2 linked regions of the Callithrix jacchus genome follow. The protein of the gene in region 1 interacts with the protein of each later gene in a biochemical or structural test. Links are inferred from orthologs where the notes say so. Each region holds a gene or a part of one and is shown in the gene's direction. Other genes may lie near its edges.

What was found. The genes of interacting proteins can lie anywhere in the genome.
Region 2: the proteins of DLG4 (region 1) and PKP4 interact in a test that uses a peptide from one of them, tested with the Homo sapiens proteins (2 studies listed by IntAct, with this or other methods). The link is inferred for Callithrix jacchus from reciprocal best matches to the Homo sapiens genes DLG4 and PKP4.

Annotation. Positions count from the first base shown.
Region 1 is NC_133506.1:73,691,790-73,698,992, reverse strand, and holds part of DLG4 (disks large homolog 4), read left to right. Parts: intron 1-2,599; exon of another isoform or gene 2,600-2,974; coding exon of another isoform or gene 2,975-2,986; intron 2,987-3,481; coding exon 3,482-3,535; exon of another isoform or gene 3,536-3,536; intron 3,537-3,667; exon of another isoform or gene 3,668-3,669; coding exon 3,670-3,726; intron 3,727-3,932; coding exon 3,933-4,057; intron 4,058-4,152; coding exon 4,153-4,322; intron 4,323-4,424; coding exon 4,425-4,561; intron 4,562-4,707; coding exon 4,708-4,852; intron 4,853-7,203. UniProt on the Homo sapiens protein: Postsynaptic scaffolding protein that plays a critical role in synaptogenesis and synaptic plasticity by providing a platform for the postsynaptic clustering of crucial synaptic proteins.
Region 2 is NC_133507.1:71,435,343-71,443,031, reverse strand, and holds the start of PKP4 (plakophilin-4), read left to right. Parts: upstream 1-3,538; 5' UTR 3,539-3,859; intron 3,860-4,338; exon of another isoform or gene 4,339-4,475; intron 4,476-4,529; exon of another isoform or gene 4,530-4,938; intron 4,939-7,689. Other genes in the region: CCDC148 (coiled-coil domain-containing protein 148), read right to left, coding at 3,055-3,069, 3,354-3,384. UniProt on the Homo sapiens protein: Plays a role as a regulator of Rho activity during cytokinesis. May play a role in junctional plaques.

The DNA of each region.
Region 1 (7,203 bases):
TGTGCGTGGTATTTGTGCGCGTGCCTGTGCATGGGCGTGCGCTGTGTGCCTGTGCATGTTTGCGTGCACTATATGCGTGTGTGCCTGTCAGTGTGTGTGCTGTATGCGTGTGTATGCATGTGCCTGTGCATGTGTGTGCGTTCGCTGTACGCTTGTGGGTGCCTGTGCGTGTGCTGTATGTGTGTGTGCCTGTGAGTGTGTGTGCATGCGCTGTATGCCTGTGTGTTGAGATGTGTGCATCCCCCAGAAGGCCCCCCACGCCTAGGACCTCTTCATTCCTTCACACCCCCAACCTCCGTTTCCATTTTCTCTGTCCACAGTTCTGTTCCAAGCGCCTGCTGCCCTCATTTGCTCTTGTCCCTTCCCCACCTCCTCCCCCTACCTCTGCCTCTGGGCCTGGCTCGCCCTATTCCCTAGTCTTCAGCCCTTTCCATCTGTCTGGTCTGAGACTTTACATGGTGGGGCCTTGCTGCCTCGTCCCCTGCCCCAGCCTTTGCTGGACTCCTGAGCTCTCTCCCGCCTCTGCAGCCTTTCCTTCCTCTGGCAGGCTGGCTGGCTCTTGATGCTGTCTCTCTCTTCCTCCCACGCATTCTCCTCTCCCTCTCCCTGATCCCCAGCTCAGGCCACTGCGGCCTGATCAGTCCTATCCCTCATCAGTCCTCTGCCTCCGTCAGCTGGCTCCCCTTTCCCACGTTCCCTCTTGCCTATTCGTCTTCACCTTCTCTCTTTTCCTGCTCCTCTCTCTCATCCTCTTGGATTCTCACCTCTGCTGTATCTTCTTTCTGTCCCCATCTGTCCCTTCCATCATCCCTCACCACCTGTTTCCCTTTCTCTTCTGGGCTCACAGGGTCTTCCCCTCTCCAGCCCTTAGAGGCCTGGTTTCTGGCCTCTCCATTCTCCAGTCCCCTTTCCATCTTCCCTTCCCTCCATCTCCTCTTCTGGGGACACAGGATGGGGAGGAATGGAGTGCACCAGGCAAGCTGTGAGATTGAGGGGACACCGTGGGGTCAGGGTGGGGATTCTAGGATGTTGTGGCATGGCCTGGGAAGGGGGAGGTTGCTAACTTGCTGACATTTCACCAAGAAGATGAAGAGGAGGTGTCTGAGCCTAGGGAGCAGCCAAGCAGATTCTGGAGTGAGAACTGGCAAGAGAGGAGTTGGGGGATAGGAAGGGTAAGAGGTCCTGGGGCAGGGGCCAGATAGAGATAAGACTGTGAGATCAGGGCAGTGAATTGGAGCTGACAGAGCTAGGAAAGGAAGGCCCTGGAGACAGGGATGGTACAGAGTGTTTGTGCGAATTCTGTGGTGGCTAGGAGTGAGGGAAGGAAGACTAGAGATGCTCTTTTGCAAGGTAGGGCCATTAGATTTCTGAGGAGGGGGAAGAGAAGGGTAGGGAGCTGGTGGTAGGAATGGTAGTTAGTACAGAGCTCAGGAGGCAAAAGAGGGTAGAGGGAGAGAATTGCTAGAGGCCATAAGCATGGGGTGGAGGTTCCAGCACAAGGCGGCAGCTGGGGGACAGAAGAAGCCTCAATTTTCAGAAGAGAGAGGGAGTGGATTGAGGAGTGAAAGATTCTCACTTGAGAATAATCTTGATATGAAGGTAGGGTAAAGGAGAATGGTGACAAATTCTCTGGGAAATCAGAAATTGAGATGGAGTAGCTGAGTGAGGTGGCATGTGCCTGTAGCTACTCAGGAGGTCGAGGTAGGAGGATTACTTGAGCCCAGGAGTTCAAGGCATCAGTGAGCTATGATGACACCACTGCACTCCAGCCTGAGTGACACAGCAACACCCTGTCTCGGGGGAAAAAAAGAATTTGGGATGGAGGATGAGGCCACGACATTGGTAAGGGATGGGGCTGGAGGGTGCGATAGGGCCAGGGAAGCGAATGGAGAATAGAGGCTGGGGTTGGAAGATGGGGTTGGATGTTGAAGGGTGAGACAGGGATGTAGATGGAGCATGTGGGATGCGGGCAGAGATAGGGATGGGAAGCAAATGAGTGTCGTAGTGGATGAAGAAGGGTGTGCTGGGAAGGAAGTTCCAGGATAGGGATGGGGATGGGGATTGACAATGGGCTGAACATGTGGATGAGATTTTGGCAGTCAGTGGCTATTGGTTGGGCAACAGCATTTGCTGAGATGTGAAGGGTTAGAGGGCGGTGTTAACAGATTTATGGGTGCGAAATCTGTAATACAGCTTGAAATGGTCGGTAGTTTGTAGGATTGAGAAATAGCAGTAGGAGACGGGAGGGACCCCTTTGGACGGGAAGAGCGGGAAGGAGAGTGCGGAATCCTTGCGGTTGGGCGGCTGCAAACACCTGTTAAAGAAGGAAGTAGGTTGGGGACCCCGGAAGGAGGCTCTTGGCGGCCTCTCCTCATTGCCATAGAGACGTGGCTTCGGTTGCCCAGGCAATTGGGGAAGCCCCTAGGACCAGCCTAAAGCTGGCCCCGCCTGGGAGTCTAGAGACCAGGCAATTGACGTCAGGGACCTGGGCACGCCCCACTTTAACCCTTTCCCCGAAAGAAGTAGGGGGAGGGAGTAGAGGAGGGGTATAGGACCCGGATGTCTTTCTCCACGCCTCCTTCCTGACGTCCTTTGCACTGCATAGGGTGAGGGGCGTGGGGGAGAGAGGAAGGCAGGTTGTTCAGGATGCGCTGCACCCTCAAACCTCTTCAGCCTGGCCTCCTCTCGGCCTGGCTAACGCGGGGCGGGGCCCAGGGCAGGAGAGGCGGGGTTAGCGGATCCCTTCTGCACTCGGGAGCCTGGTCGGCCTCAGGCCACGCCCCACCCCCCTGTTGTCCTGACGACAGGGCCTCCTGGAGGTGGGTCTCCCCGGGTCTTGGCTGGTCCTAGATACCGTTGCTAGGCAACACGGTCCCTAGAGGAAGGGGTGGATTGGACGGCTGGTAGCTGAGACCGAGGGAGGGGCCTGCAGCTGGGGAAACCCCGGATTCCCGAGGCGCAGGGTTTAGGGCAAATGTGTGTGAAGGTGAGGGACAAGTCTAGGGGAGGGTTATGAAGATATTTGGGTAGATATGGAGGGGTTGGGGGGATGGAGCAGGAAGTGGGACCAGGAGCCGGTGGACTTGAGCCCTGGGGTGTCCGTGTGTAGCATATAAGGCATGTGGTGTTACATCCGGTGAGAAGCTCCCTTCCCCCAAGCCTACCCCCCTCTCCCCACTCTGCCATCTGCTGCTCCCCTCTCTGTCTGGCTGTCTCCCTTCCCGCTTTTCTTACACCTCCTTCCACATGCAGGGGGCCTGGGCTGGGCAAAGTTAGAGTGGTGTGTATGTGCATCTGTGGTATGTGTGTGCGCGTGGGCCTGTGTGGTGTGCATTGAGGCTGGGTCCTTGAGCAGCTCTCAGGGTGGGGGAGTGGGCTTGGCTGAGAGGCTAAGGGGTAGCCACGCTGATGGGACCTCCGTTACGGGCTCCCTCTTGAGTCAAGGCTCAGGAGGCTTTTTGTCTCTTATTTCCCCGAACAGGCCAATTCTCCCCCTGTGATTGTCAACACAGATACCCTAGAAGCCCCAGGATATGTGAGTTGTTTAGATTTTGGGGCTGGGACCATGGTAGAAGAAAGGAGGGAGTAAGGGAGGGCAGCAGATGACAGGCAGGTTGTCAGGCGGGAATGTCTGTCTCACTGCTTTTGTGTTTCTATCCCGTGCTGGAGTTGCAGGTGAACGGGACCGAGGGGGAGATGGAATACGAGGAGATCACATTGGAAAGGGTGAGCAGGCTCCTCCATCAGTGGTCCCCTTAGCTCCTGATCTGTACCTTTCTTTATGCCCATGTGGTCTGTATGGTCAGCCCCTCATCCTGTCCCTTCCTGCTCTGGCTGCCACTCTCTACCACTCTCCAAGCCATTTCCCACCCCACTTACCTTGCCAGAATTGGGCAGTGAGGGGAGCTGACCTCTTCCCCTCCTTCATCCAGGGTAACTCAGGTCTGGGCTTCAGCATCGCAGGTGGCACTGACAACCCACACATCGGTGACGATCCGTCCATTTTCATCACCAAGATAATTCCTGGTGGGGCTGCGGCCCAGGATGGCCGCCTCAGGTGGGGAGAGGAGACGGGTTAGGATGCTGGTCCCTTGAGAGGGAGGGCCAGGGCAGCAGGAAGCCCTTGGCTTAGGCCCACCTTGTTGTTCCCAGGGTCAACGACAGCATCCTGTTTGTAAATGAAGTGGACGTGCGTGAGGTGACCCACTCAGCGGCAGTGGAGGCCCTCAAAGAGGCAGGCTCCATCGTTCGCCTCTATGTCATGCGTCGGAAGCCCCCGGCTGAGAAGGTCATGGAGATAAAGCTCATCAAAGGGCCTAAAGGTAGCAACTCATTTTGTTCCCATCCTCATCCCAACTGTCCTGTGCCCCAAAGCCTGCTTCCTGGGCACCTGGGCACCCACCTCTGGCCTCCCCTCCATCCAGGTCTTGGCTTCAGCATCGCAGGGGGCGTAGGGAACCAGCACATCCCAGGAGATAATAGCATCTATGTAACAAAGATCATCGAAGGGGGTGCTGCCCACAAGGATGGGAGGTTGCAGATTGGAGACAAGATCCTGGCGGTGAGGACCCCATCTAGCCCATTTTCTAGCCCAGATCTGGGTCTCACCTACTAGCCCTGGACAGGCCCAAGTTCATCACTTCACCCCAGTCCCTCTGTCTTGGGCCATCTGTGGCTTTGTTTGAACTTTGCTTTCCTTGACTCCAGGTCAACAGTGTGGGGTTGGAGGATGTCATGCATGAAGATGCTGTGGCAGCCCTGAAGAACACGTATGATGTTGTCTACCTAAAGGTGGCCAAGCCCAGCAATGCCTACCTGAGTGACAGCTATGCTCCCCCAGACATCACAACCTGTGAGAGCCCTTCAAATGCCAAAGCTCCCCATGACCCATCCTGTTTAACCCCATGACATGCAGCCCCATGACATCCCTGTAGCTGTCCTTCTTCAGATATTCCCCATGAAATAGCCACAATCGCTGATCCTTGCTGTGGCTGGAGAAGAGATGGAAAAATCAGTTACCATAAGGAACTAGAGAAGATTGTCAACGATCTCTCCCCCAGAAGGCACAAAGCCCAGGTGGTTTGATGACTAATTTTACGAAATTCTCAAAAGATAGATAATTTTTCTGTTCTTTTAGAGTACAGGAAAAGATATAAGATTTCACATTTCATTGTGTAAGGCCAGTTCAAATGGTCACAAAGATAACATAAAATAAGGAGAGTTTTGCTTTTGAATAGAGATGCAAAAGTTTACAACAATATAGTAGCAAACCAAACATGGCAGCATTGTAAGGGAATAACATAGGGTTTGTTTCAGAAAACTAAAGATGGCTCAATATTAAGAAATCTCTTAAATATGATTCATAAAAAGTCAGCCAGGCAGAGTGGCTCATGCCTGTAATCCCAGCACTTTGGGAGGTCAAGGGGGGCGGATCATGAGGTCAGGAGATCAAGACTATCCTGACCAACATGGTGAAACTCTGTCTCTAATATATATATATATTATAAAATTAGTTGGACGTGGTGCATGACTGTAGTCCCAGCTACTTGGAGGTTGAGGCAGGGGAATTGCTTGAACCTGGGAGGCAGAGGTTGCAGTGAACCAAGATTTTGCCACTGTACTCCAATCTGGCAACAGAGGGAGACTCTATCTCAAAAAAAAAAGAAAGAAAGAAAAAAAAAGTTAAGCCGGGCTCAGTGGCTCGAGCCTGTAATCCCAGCACTTTGGGAGGCCGAGGTGGGTGGATCACGAGGTTAAGAGATTGAGACCATCCTGGTCAGCATGGTGAAACCCCGTCTCTAATAAAAATACAAAAAATTAGCTGGGCATGGTGGTGCGTGCCTGTAATCCCAGCTACTCAGGAGGCTGAGGCAGGAGAATTGCCTGAACCCAGGAGGCGGAGGTTGCGATGAGCCGAGATCGCGCCATTGCATTCCAGCCTGGGTAACGAACGAAACTCTGTCTCAAAAAAAAAAAGGAAAAAAAAGTTAAGGGTGGCCAGGTGCGGTGGCTCATGCTTGTAATCCCAGCACTTGGGAGGCCAAAGTGTGAGGATCACTTGAGCCTAGGGGTTTGAGACCAGCCTCGGGAAGATAGTGAGACCCCTGTCTCTACAAAATATAAAAAATTAGCATGTGCCTATAGTCCTTGGTATTTGGGAGGCTAAGGCTAGAGGACCGCTTGAGCCAAGAAGTTGGAAGCTACAGTGAACCAATGATTGTGCCACTGTCCACTAGACTGAGTGACAAGCGAGAGGAGAAAACGATATGACCATCTCAAATAGATGTGAAAAAGCATTTTGTGAAATTCATCATCTCTTCAATTTTTTTTTCTTGTTATTTTTTTTTTTGAGATGGAGTCTAGCTTTGTCACCAGGTTGGAGTGCAGTGGCACAATCTTGGCTCTCTGCAACCTCTGCCTTCTGGGTTCAAGTGATTCTCCTGTCTCAGTCTCCCCAGTAGCTGGGACTACAGGTACATGCTGCCATGCCCAGCTGAGTTTTGTATTTTTAGTAGAGACAGGTTTTCACTGTGTTGGTCAGGATGGTTTCAATCTCCTGACCTTGTGATCCACCCGCCTCGGCCTTCCAAAGTGCTGGGATTACAGGTGTGAGCCACCATGCCCGGCCAATTCACCATTTCTTTTGGATGAAAGATTTTAGTGAACTAGGAACAGAGGAATTTTCCTTAAGATGGTGAAGATTACTTATCAGAAACAATAGCAAACATTTTATAATCATAAAATCCTAGCAGTGTGTCCATTAACTTATTTTTAAATTTTAATTTTAACTTTTTTCTTGAGATGGCGTTTCACTCTTGTTGGCTAGGCTGGAGTGCAGTGCCATGATCTCAGCTCACTGCAAACTCCACTTCCCAGGTTCAAGTGATTCTCCTGCCTCAGCCTCCCGAGTAGCTGGGATTATAGGTGCTACCACGCTGGCTAATTTTTATACCTTTAGTGGAGATGGGGTTTTACCATGTTGGCCAGGTCTTGAACTCCTCTTGACCTCAGGTTATCTGCCTGTCTCAGCCTCCGGAAGTACTGAGATTACAGGTGTGAGCCACCACGCCCAGCCTCCATTAATTTATAAAGAAGACAAGGATGCCTCTTACCACTGCTGTGCTTTAGAGCAAGGTTTGCCTCTTACCAGTGCCGCGCTTCATTGCTTTAGAGCAAGGTTTCTCAATGTTACTCCTGACATTT
Region 2 (7,689 bases), on another chromosome or scaffold:
CACGGGAGAATTTGTACAAATATATTAAGAGAATGACACTGGGGTGGAGTTCAGCCAATTCTGAAACCACCAGAGCCAACAGAGCGGAACTATTACTAAGCCCTAGTAACCCTCCTCAGGCCCCGCTTATTCCACTACTCTCTTTTCCTCCTTTGCCACCTACTTGTTTTAACATTCCTCTTTAGAAATAAAACCCCAAACTATCAGTATTGGTATACTTTCTGAAGATTTTTATCTTCACCTCCCAAGTATGAGAAGAGACTCAGTTTTCCTGCTTCCTCCTATTCCTTGCTGCCTCTGCTATGCTTCTTAGGGAATTTACCACTAATCTTTATGGGAGAATATGAAAATAACAAACATTGGAAAGTTACAGAGTTTTCATAATCTTAAAAGTTTCAGGTTGACTTCTTTCTGAGCTGGTAATTGAAAGTTGTTTGGATTTCTGCTGTTTACTTTTGTTCTTCAGGGTGGAGTCATCAAACCTCTTAATATTCTAACCTTGCCCTCAACCCGAGTGTCAGCTGGAGCACAGGCCCTCTTCCCACCCCTACTTTCCAGCACTTTCCCCAAGGTGACCAGGCTAGTAGTTTAAATCATCCTCTTCTCAAGCCAGTCATTTGCATTTCTGTGGATCCTCAGGCTAAGTGACAATGGTTTCACTCCTTCACTGGAAATCTGGAATTGGGCCATTGCAACTTGGAAGTAAAGGACATTTTTGTAGGAGAGAACTTAATTGGCAAAATAAGCTACGATTTTGAGGAGAAAGAGCAAAATCATCAAGATCATTTCAGTTGTATTCAAGAGCCAAAACATTGGTGAAAAAGTAGAAACGTCAAGAAATTCCCTTCAGACAGTTTATTGGTGAAAAGAAAGGCAAGAAGATGGAGATTGTGGTAGGGTAGAAGGAAGGTGGTTTTGCCAAAGGCCAGATATTTGGAAGGTTTAGGAAAAATCATCAGAGGTGAGGGTATAACACATCGTCTAAGAAAGAAATTATAATTACTAGAGCAAAATCCTGGTAGAGAGAAGATGGTTCATGTTTAGGAGCATATGTGGAGTATGAGCTTTGAAGAGAAATGTGGATACCCCTACTCAACCAGGACTGAAAGAGGTGAAGATGTATAAAAACTGAGACTGAGGTTTAGGAAAGTTAAGTTGAGGAACCTCATGGTGGATCCTTCATTAGAGTATGAGGCAAGATCATTTTGCAGAAGTGGAGGAAAACCACATAAAGTGGGGGCTTGAGGAGATCAGACATAGGACACGTTTGGAAGTGGCCCAGATAATGTTCCCGGATAAGTGTTCTGGATAATCATCCTCCTGATGAGGAAAGGAATTGAGAATCAGTGAAGACCAGCCAAGTTTGAATAGCATGAACTTTAAGAGGAATGAAGTGATCATTTAACCTTATCTAGCAATGCTTAGTAGTGCAGGAGCAAGTTGAAAAGAAAGCTTTCAACTAAATACAAAAATAAAGAAAATAATTAATGTTGAGTGACAACTTATTTCAGAGGACATATTCATGGTGGATTTTTAGTAACAATTTAATTATGACAAACATGAAATCTACAATGTCAAAATAATCATCTGAGAAAAACATACAAAAGACTATTGGAGTAATAATAAAATGAGCTTTTTTCTCCTTCTTTCTATGCTAGCCTAAGGCAAGAAAAAAGAAAAGACCCATTTTTCTTTCCATTAGACACATTTTCCATTCATTCGATGTGACTGAAATTTTTAAAAAAGCAAAATCATTGGTATCTTATTATTAAACATATGTCATATAACAATTTGCATTTTACTTTTTCTGTTCTATAAACAAACTCACATATTAAAAAGCCAGAAGAAGTCAAAAACAGCCTATTTTCATATAGCCAGGCATGACACAACACTTCCTGGCCTCTGCTGATCCCTTCCCAATTCTGAAAATATTTAGAGGGAACATTCACATGTTCACCTGTTTTGTTCCACAGTCCAACTCTGAGTAGGATTGTCAACTAAGTTGAAATTTTACCACAAATGTGGAGAGATTTTTTTTTTCCAATCAAGGCACCATATTAACATTTCTTAGGTTACATCTTTATAATCTTCAATTACAGTAAGATAAAAACCAGTAGCAAAGCATATCACCCAACTTAAAATTCAGAAGAATACTTAGACATATGCAACTTGCACACACATTAATCTGTTTCTCTCAACAAATTATTTGTAATTTTCAAAATCCTATCAGCTTTTTCACACAACATGGTCCCTCCAATGTGAGGTGCAGTAATATGTACATAGTCTCCTTACTAAAAAGATTAGTTGAAAAATAGTAAAATGACCAAAAAAAGGAACATAAGAATATCGGTGGTTATAGGCTAGAGCAATATCATATTTTAAAGCCTAATATGTTCATGAAATTTCACTTTAAGAAGGTGGTATCTAAATATAAAATTTATTGACAAAAAATTAGTATTGACAAACTAGCACAAGATTATTTTAAATGAAAGTAGAAGACATTATTAAAGCTCAAGATTTTTGTGTGTACTGATTTTCATGCCTCAGGTGATTTCTATATCAAATTTAAAGAGAACTGGAAAATAGAAAACAAAATCCATCAACTGTAATCCATTTCTCTTACTCTTTCGTGAAATCATCAGAAGGCATAAAGGATTGTTTCTGTTTCCTGTCTCTTTATCAAGCCTGTAACCCCTCAAGTGAAAGAACATGCACCTGTCAAGCTCGTAGTGCAGGATGTACACACAGATGTGTTTAATAGATATCTGCCCACGGGAAGATTAGAGGTTTGCTTTGAGAATCAGGGAACAGGCTATCTTATGTGGTGACGCTTTGGCATCTATCATACAATCCGTCACCTTCTCCCTTACCAAAATATCATCAAAGGAAATCCTCTTTGAGTCTTCTTTGAGAAGGGATATGAGTTTGAAGACCCAAAACGTTGAAACAAGACAGGAAAGGGGGAGTGGTTGCGGAGAACAAGCCCAAGTAGGATTCAAGTGGCTCAGTGACGTCAGGAGGAAGGAGCGATGGAAGGGATGGGGTGCAACTCACCTAGAGAAGCAGCAGCTGCACAAACGTCAAAGGTCAGAGCCTAGCCTCAGGGGCTCCCCAAACGCAGGAAAAGTGAAACGCCCACTCCTGGCTCTCACTGTCAGGGGTACGTCTAAGGGCTCAGCTGTTCCTACCTTTGATGCCAGGGACAAACCCTTCCAGGCACAGTTGGGGCTGGCAGGAAGGCAAAGTGAAACCTGCCCCAGATTTCAGAGCCAGCACTGGGGAATCTCCCTGTCCTCCTCTCCGCCACCCCCTCCCGCGCCCGCGACTTGAGACACCCTCATCCTCACACCCACCTTCTCCAGGCCCTCTCGCGCTGAACAGCATCGGTCTCTATGGCGACCTGAAACCGCAGCTCCTATTGGTCCGTTCAATATGAGGGCCGGGCCAATGGGGAGGACCAGCCCTCTCCTTCTGGCCAATGGGGTAGCGGAAGCAGGCCCGGGGACGGCGGCGTGCTGACGTTCCCGGGAGCCCGGGTCTGGCCGGGCGGGCTGGCGGCGGGGCGGGCGGCGGTGGCGGCGGCCTCTGGGCAGTAGAGGGGGCTCCGGGACTGAGTCCGCGTCGACGCCGGCCGCGGAGGCGGCACCATGGGCAAAGGGTAGAGGGGCAAGTTGGCCACCGCCGCCGCCGGGGGTGGTGGGATAGCCGCTCCGGGGGAGGGGGCGGGTGGGGGAGGGAGGGGCGGGCAGCCGCGCGGCCGCGGCACTTTTTTAATTTTTTTCGGGTGCCGCAGCGGCGACCCCTCGGCGCCGATGTCTGTGATTCCTGGAGCGACGACGGCCGCTGCCTAAGCTGGAAAGTAAGTGTGTGGGCTCGCGGGAGGGCGCGGAGACCCCTGCCGTTGAGACCCTCGGCCCTGCCGAACATGCGCCGGGGCCGGGACCTGCGCGCCGGAGGCCGGCGCCTCCCTCCCGCTGCCCCGTCCCCAGCGCCTCGGCGGCTTTCCTGCCCCGCCTCGTGTTCCTGCCCGCACTCGCCTGCTGCTCCCCTCCCCCCGGCAGGCACACAAGTTTCACCCTCCATTTGCTTTTTCCGGCGATTCCTCTCCTCGATCTCCCTTACGAGCCGCGCAGGACCCCTCTCCACGCTGGGCTCTACGGATTTGGAGCCCCCAGCCCCGAACTTGAGCTCCGCGCGGAGCCCTGCTGGACGCCCTCGCGGCGGCTTCCCCGCTGCCGCCCGCCCGGCGTGCCGCCCTGCGCCCCCGACACCCCGGGGCGCCCGCCCTCCCCAGCCCTCGAGACCAGCGGTCTGTCCTTCCAGCCCCAGATCCTGTACCTTGGCCCCTTTCCCGCCTTTCCACGCCCATGCTGCCGGCGCGCTCTTGCGTTTGCCCCCGAAGTCCTGCACTCCTAGTCGGTCCTGCCCACCCCCTCTGCCCAGTGCGTCCCTCTCTGCTGGCCGCCGATTTTCACGCTCCACCCCTCTCGGATCCCCAGCCCCTAGCCTCGCCGCTGCCCTCCTGCGCCGCCTCTTCCTCCTCTCCCTGCCAGGAGTTGAAGCGGAGCCGGGGCACCCCCCTGGTGGATTGGTATCCCCGCCCGCCTCCGAGGCAGCCGGCCCTCTCCCCTGGACCGCTACCCGGAGAGCGAGCGGCGGGGCCGGGATTTGGCTGCGTATTGGCTGAGTGCGACAAACCGCGAGCGCAGGCAGTGGAGGCGCCGCGGCGGCTGTGGCCGCTCGGGGCGCAGCGGTAGTCAGGTGTGTGTGTACAGCGGGGGACGCGCGCTGCCGGCTCCTGGGCTGGCGACAGATTGTGCAGGAATGCGAGGAATGCACCAGGGGCTGAGTCCACACGGCCCTCCGCGGCTACACTAGCGCCTTTCCTCCCCAGCTCTCGCCGCGCAGCCAGAGGTCACCGGAGCATCTTCAGAGCTGGTGAGCCTCATTCCACTCTTCTCCTCCCATTGCTTCCCTCCTTGCGGCAGAGAGGGTGGCGGAGGGAAAGCACGGTAGTTCTTTTGGGCTCCAGCTAGCCTTTCGTCTGGGTTTTTGCTGCATTGGTCTTCAGGACCGTGAATTTGGGGCCGATGACTGTGTAGCCAAGGTTATTGATCATTGCACAGCCTGTTTGCAAGTTTGGTGTGCAAGGATTAGATAGTGCCTGGTTTTTACTAGGGTTTTCTGAAAACCAGCAGGAATAGGGGGCCTGAAGGTTCTTGAGAGTAATGAGCTTGCAGCCAACATATTTTAGCTATACCAGAAAATGACTGTGCTAATGGATGGCCATGTACTGCAAGAAAGATCTTGAATGCATCACTTCGGTGTCCTAAGAAGTGTAATTTTTTTTCCTTGTCATACTGGGCTGTTTAGACCTCGTATAATACATAATGAATAGAAACAGAGAAGCAGTGTTTGGTCAGCGATGGGACAGATAGAACTGTCTGGTACAGTTAAATTCGGGGTGTGTCAGTTACCATTGAAAGTAACACGGGAACACCACAATCATGTGTATTTCAAGATGTAATTTATGAGTGGAGGTTTTAGTTCTCTTTGTTACTGAGTTTGACTAAAAGAAATGCTGCCCTACAACTTTTAAAGAATAGTAATTATTTACGTGTAAAATCGATGATGGTTAGTATGCATTTTGGTCAAATTTTGTTTTTCTCAATACAGGAAAGGAAATTTTTGACAGAAAATGGTTCGCTAGAATTGAGCTTAGATTCTTTTTATTTTAAAAGAGAAAGTAGAAGAATGCTTCCCTTCTTGAATGCAGTATATTGCTGTAGGAGTATCTTCGTTTTGATGTCTGTGAAACAGTTATGGAAAATGGCAACATGAGAATGAGAACAACTAATGTCTGAAATAAGTGTTTCTGGGTGTTGAAAAGCATCCTATGTGTGTTTTTATTTGATACAATTTGCTTTGGAGGTTGCATTTATGATAAATCTCTTTGCACCTGGTTATTTTGTAGCAGTTTCGGTAAAATAAGTCAGTTGTATGACCAATCAGCTGTCTTCCAACACCTACTTTGTCTAGATCAAGGACATTGAAAAGTATTAAATAGGAGCCTTTAGTTAAGGACTCAACAGAAAGGAAAAAATAGAAAAAAAAAAAATACTTTGCACTCTGAAAGGTTTATCTTTTGATTGCTACGTTGTTTTTCAGCTATGTGCATAATCAGTGAATCTTCTAATTAGAGGTTTAATTTGTGTCCACTAGCATGTGGAGGATATTGGGAGGTGTTTGTAAATGCCAACAGGAAACTTTTATTATGTAACAATATCATATTACAGCAGAGTTTAACCCATGCTTAACCTGTGCTTATTTGACTTGATGTCAAGATTAGGAAGTATAAGCAAATTCAGTTTCTCTGCCTCATTAGAAACCGAAAACTCTGTTCAGATATATAGATCTCACACACACACACACACACACACACACACACGATTGGCTGTGCAAATAGTTTTGCCTGCTTCAGGTAAAGGTAAGCTTTCAGTTAGAAATGCTTTCTATTTGTTATAGGTATACGAAGAGAGGAAGTTTTTCAACTGGTGATCCTTCACAATTGAAAATAACCAAAATTGTATTTTGACCAAAGTGCATTCCCTCCCCACCCCCTACTATTATGTAAGGAGAGGGTGCTGCATCTGGTGTCTTATATATTATACTGAAGAGTCTAATTTGGGGAAGCTAATTTTCCAATTATTTTAATTTTTGGTTATATTGTTTTTGGAGGGAGATAAGGGAACGGAGAGCATTGATGGAAAACAAGGGAAGAAGAAACTAGGGGTAGCTAGTATGCAACTAGAAAATAAAATTATATACATTATTGCAGCAATAATGCATTTATAAGCTAAAAAAATCAAATCTAATTTTGTGACTAGTTCTGACATAATATTAATTGAAGGAAAGTATTACCAAATTCAGTTTAATAAAAACTTTAGTACTTGTATGACCTTGAGTATTTGGATTAGGTTTATGTTAAATCAGAATTGCAGTTTTCTTTATTTTCTTGTAGATAGACAAAGCAAATTTAACGTAAAAATTTGACATTCACTTAGATTAATTTAAAAAAATTCAATTATTGACAATTTTTGGCCTAAATTTTTTAAAATTTTGAGTAATTTCCATGCTTTTACCCAGGGATGAATTTAAATGGTATTCATACCCTGGCTGATGCCAACCATCAGGTAAGTCTAGCCTCTTATCTGACTCTTTTGAAATATTAAGGTATTTTGAGAAAGCTTTGTAATCTAATGTGTTTAAAAAAAAATTTTTTTTTCTATTTCAATCAAGCAGTAATTCCCTACCTTGCTTAACTCTAAAATGGACATCCTATCTTCATTCTTAAATGGAAGATAAAGTAGAGGTTACTCTAGGGTTATTTTAGGGCATAAACACCTATGGAATTGTACGTCAGTTTGGGAAGTTTGCCTTCACATCTTAAAGTGTACAGGGAGATAATTACTCCTTCTATGTGTTAAATGATTCTGTAGTGCCCTTCCTGCACTGAAGGGGGAAGACTCTGAAACGTAACACCAGTGGACTAGGTATGTTTGGAGAATTAAGTAACTGTTTCACTGCCAGACAATACTACAGACAGCTGCAAATAGAGAAAAGAAGGAAAACTTTTAAAATACATGGATGTAAGGTTTCATTCTTACATCCATGGAAGTGATGATAGCA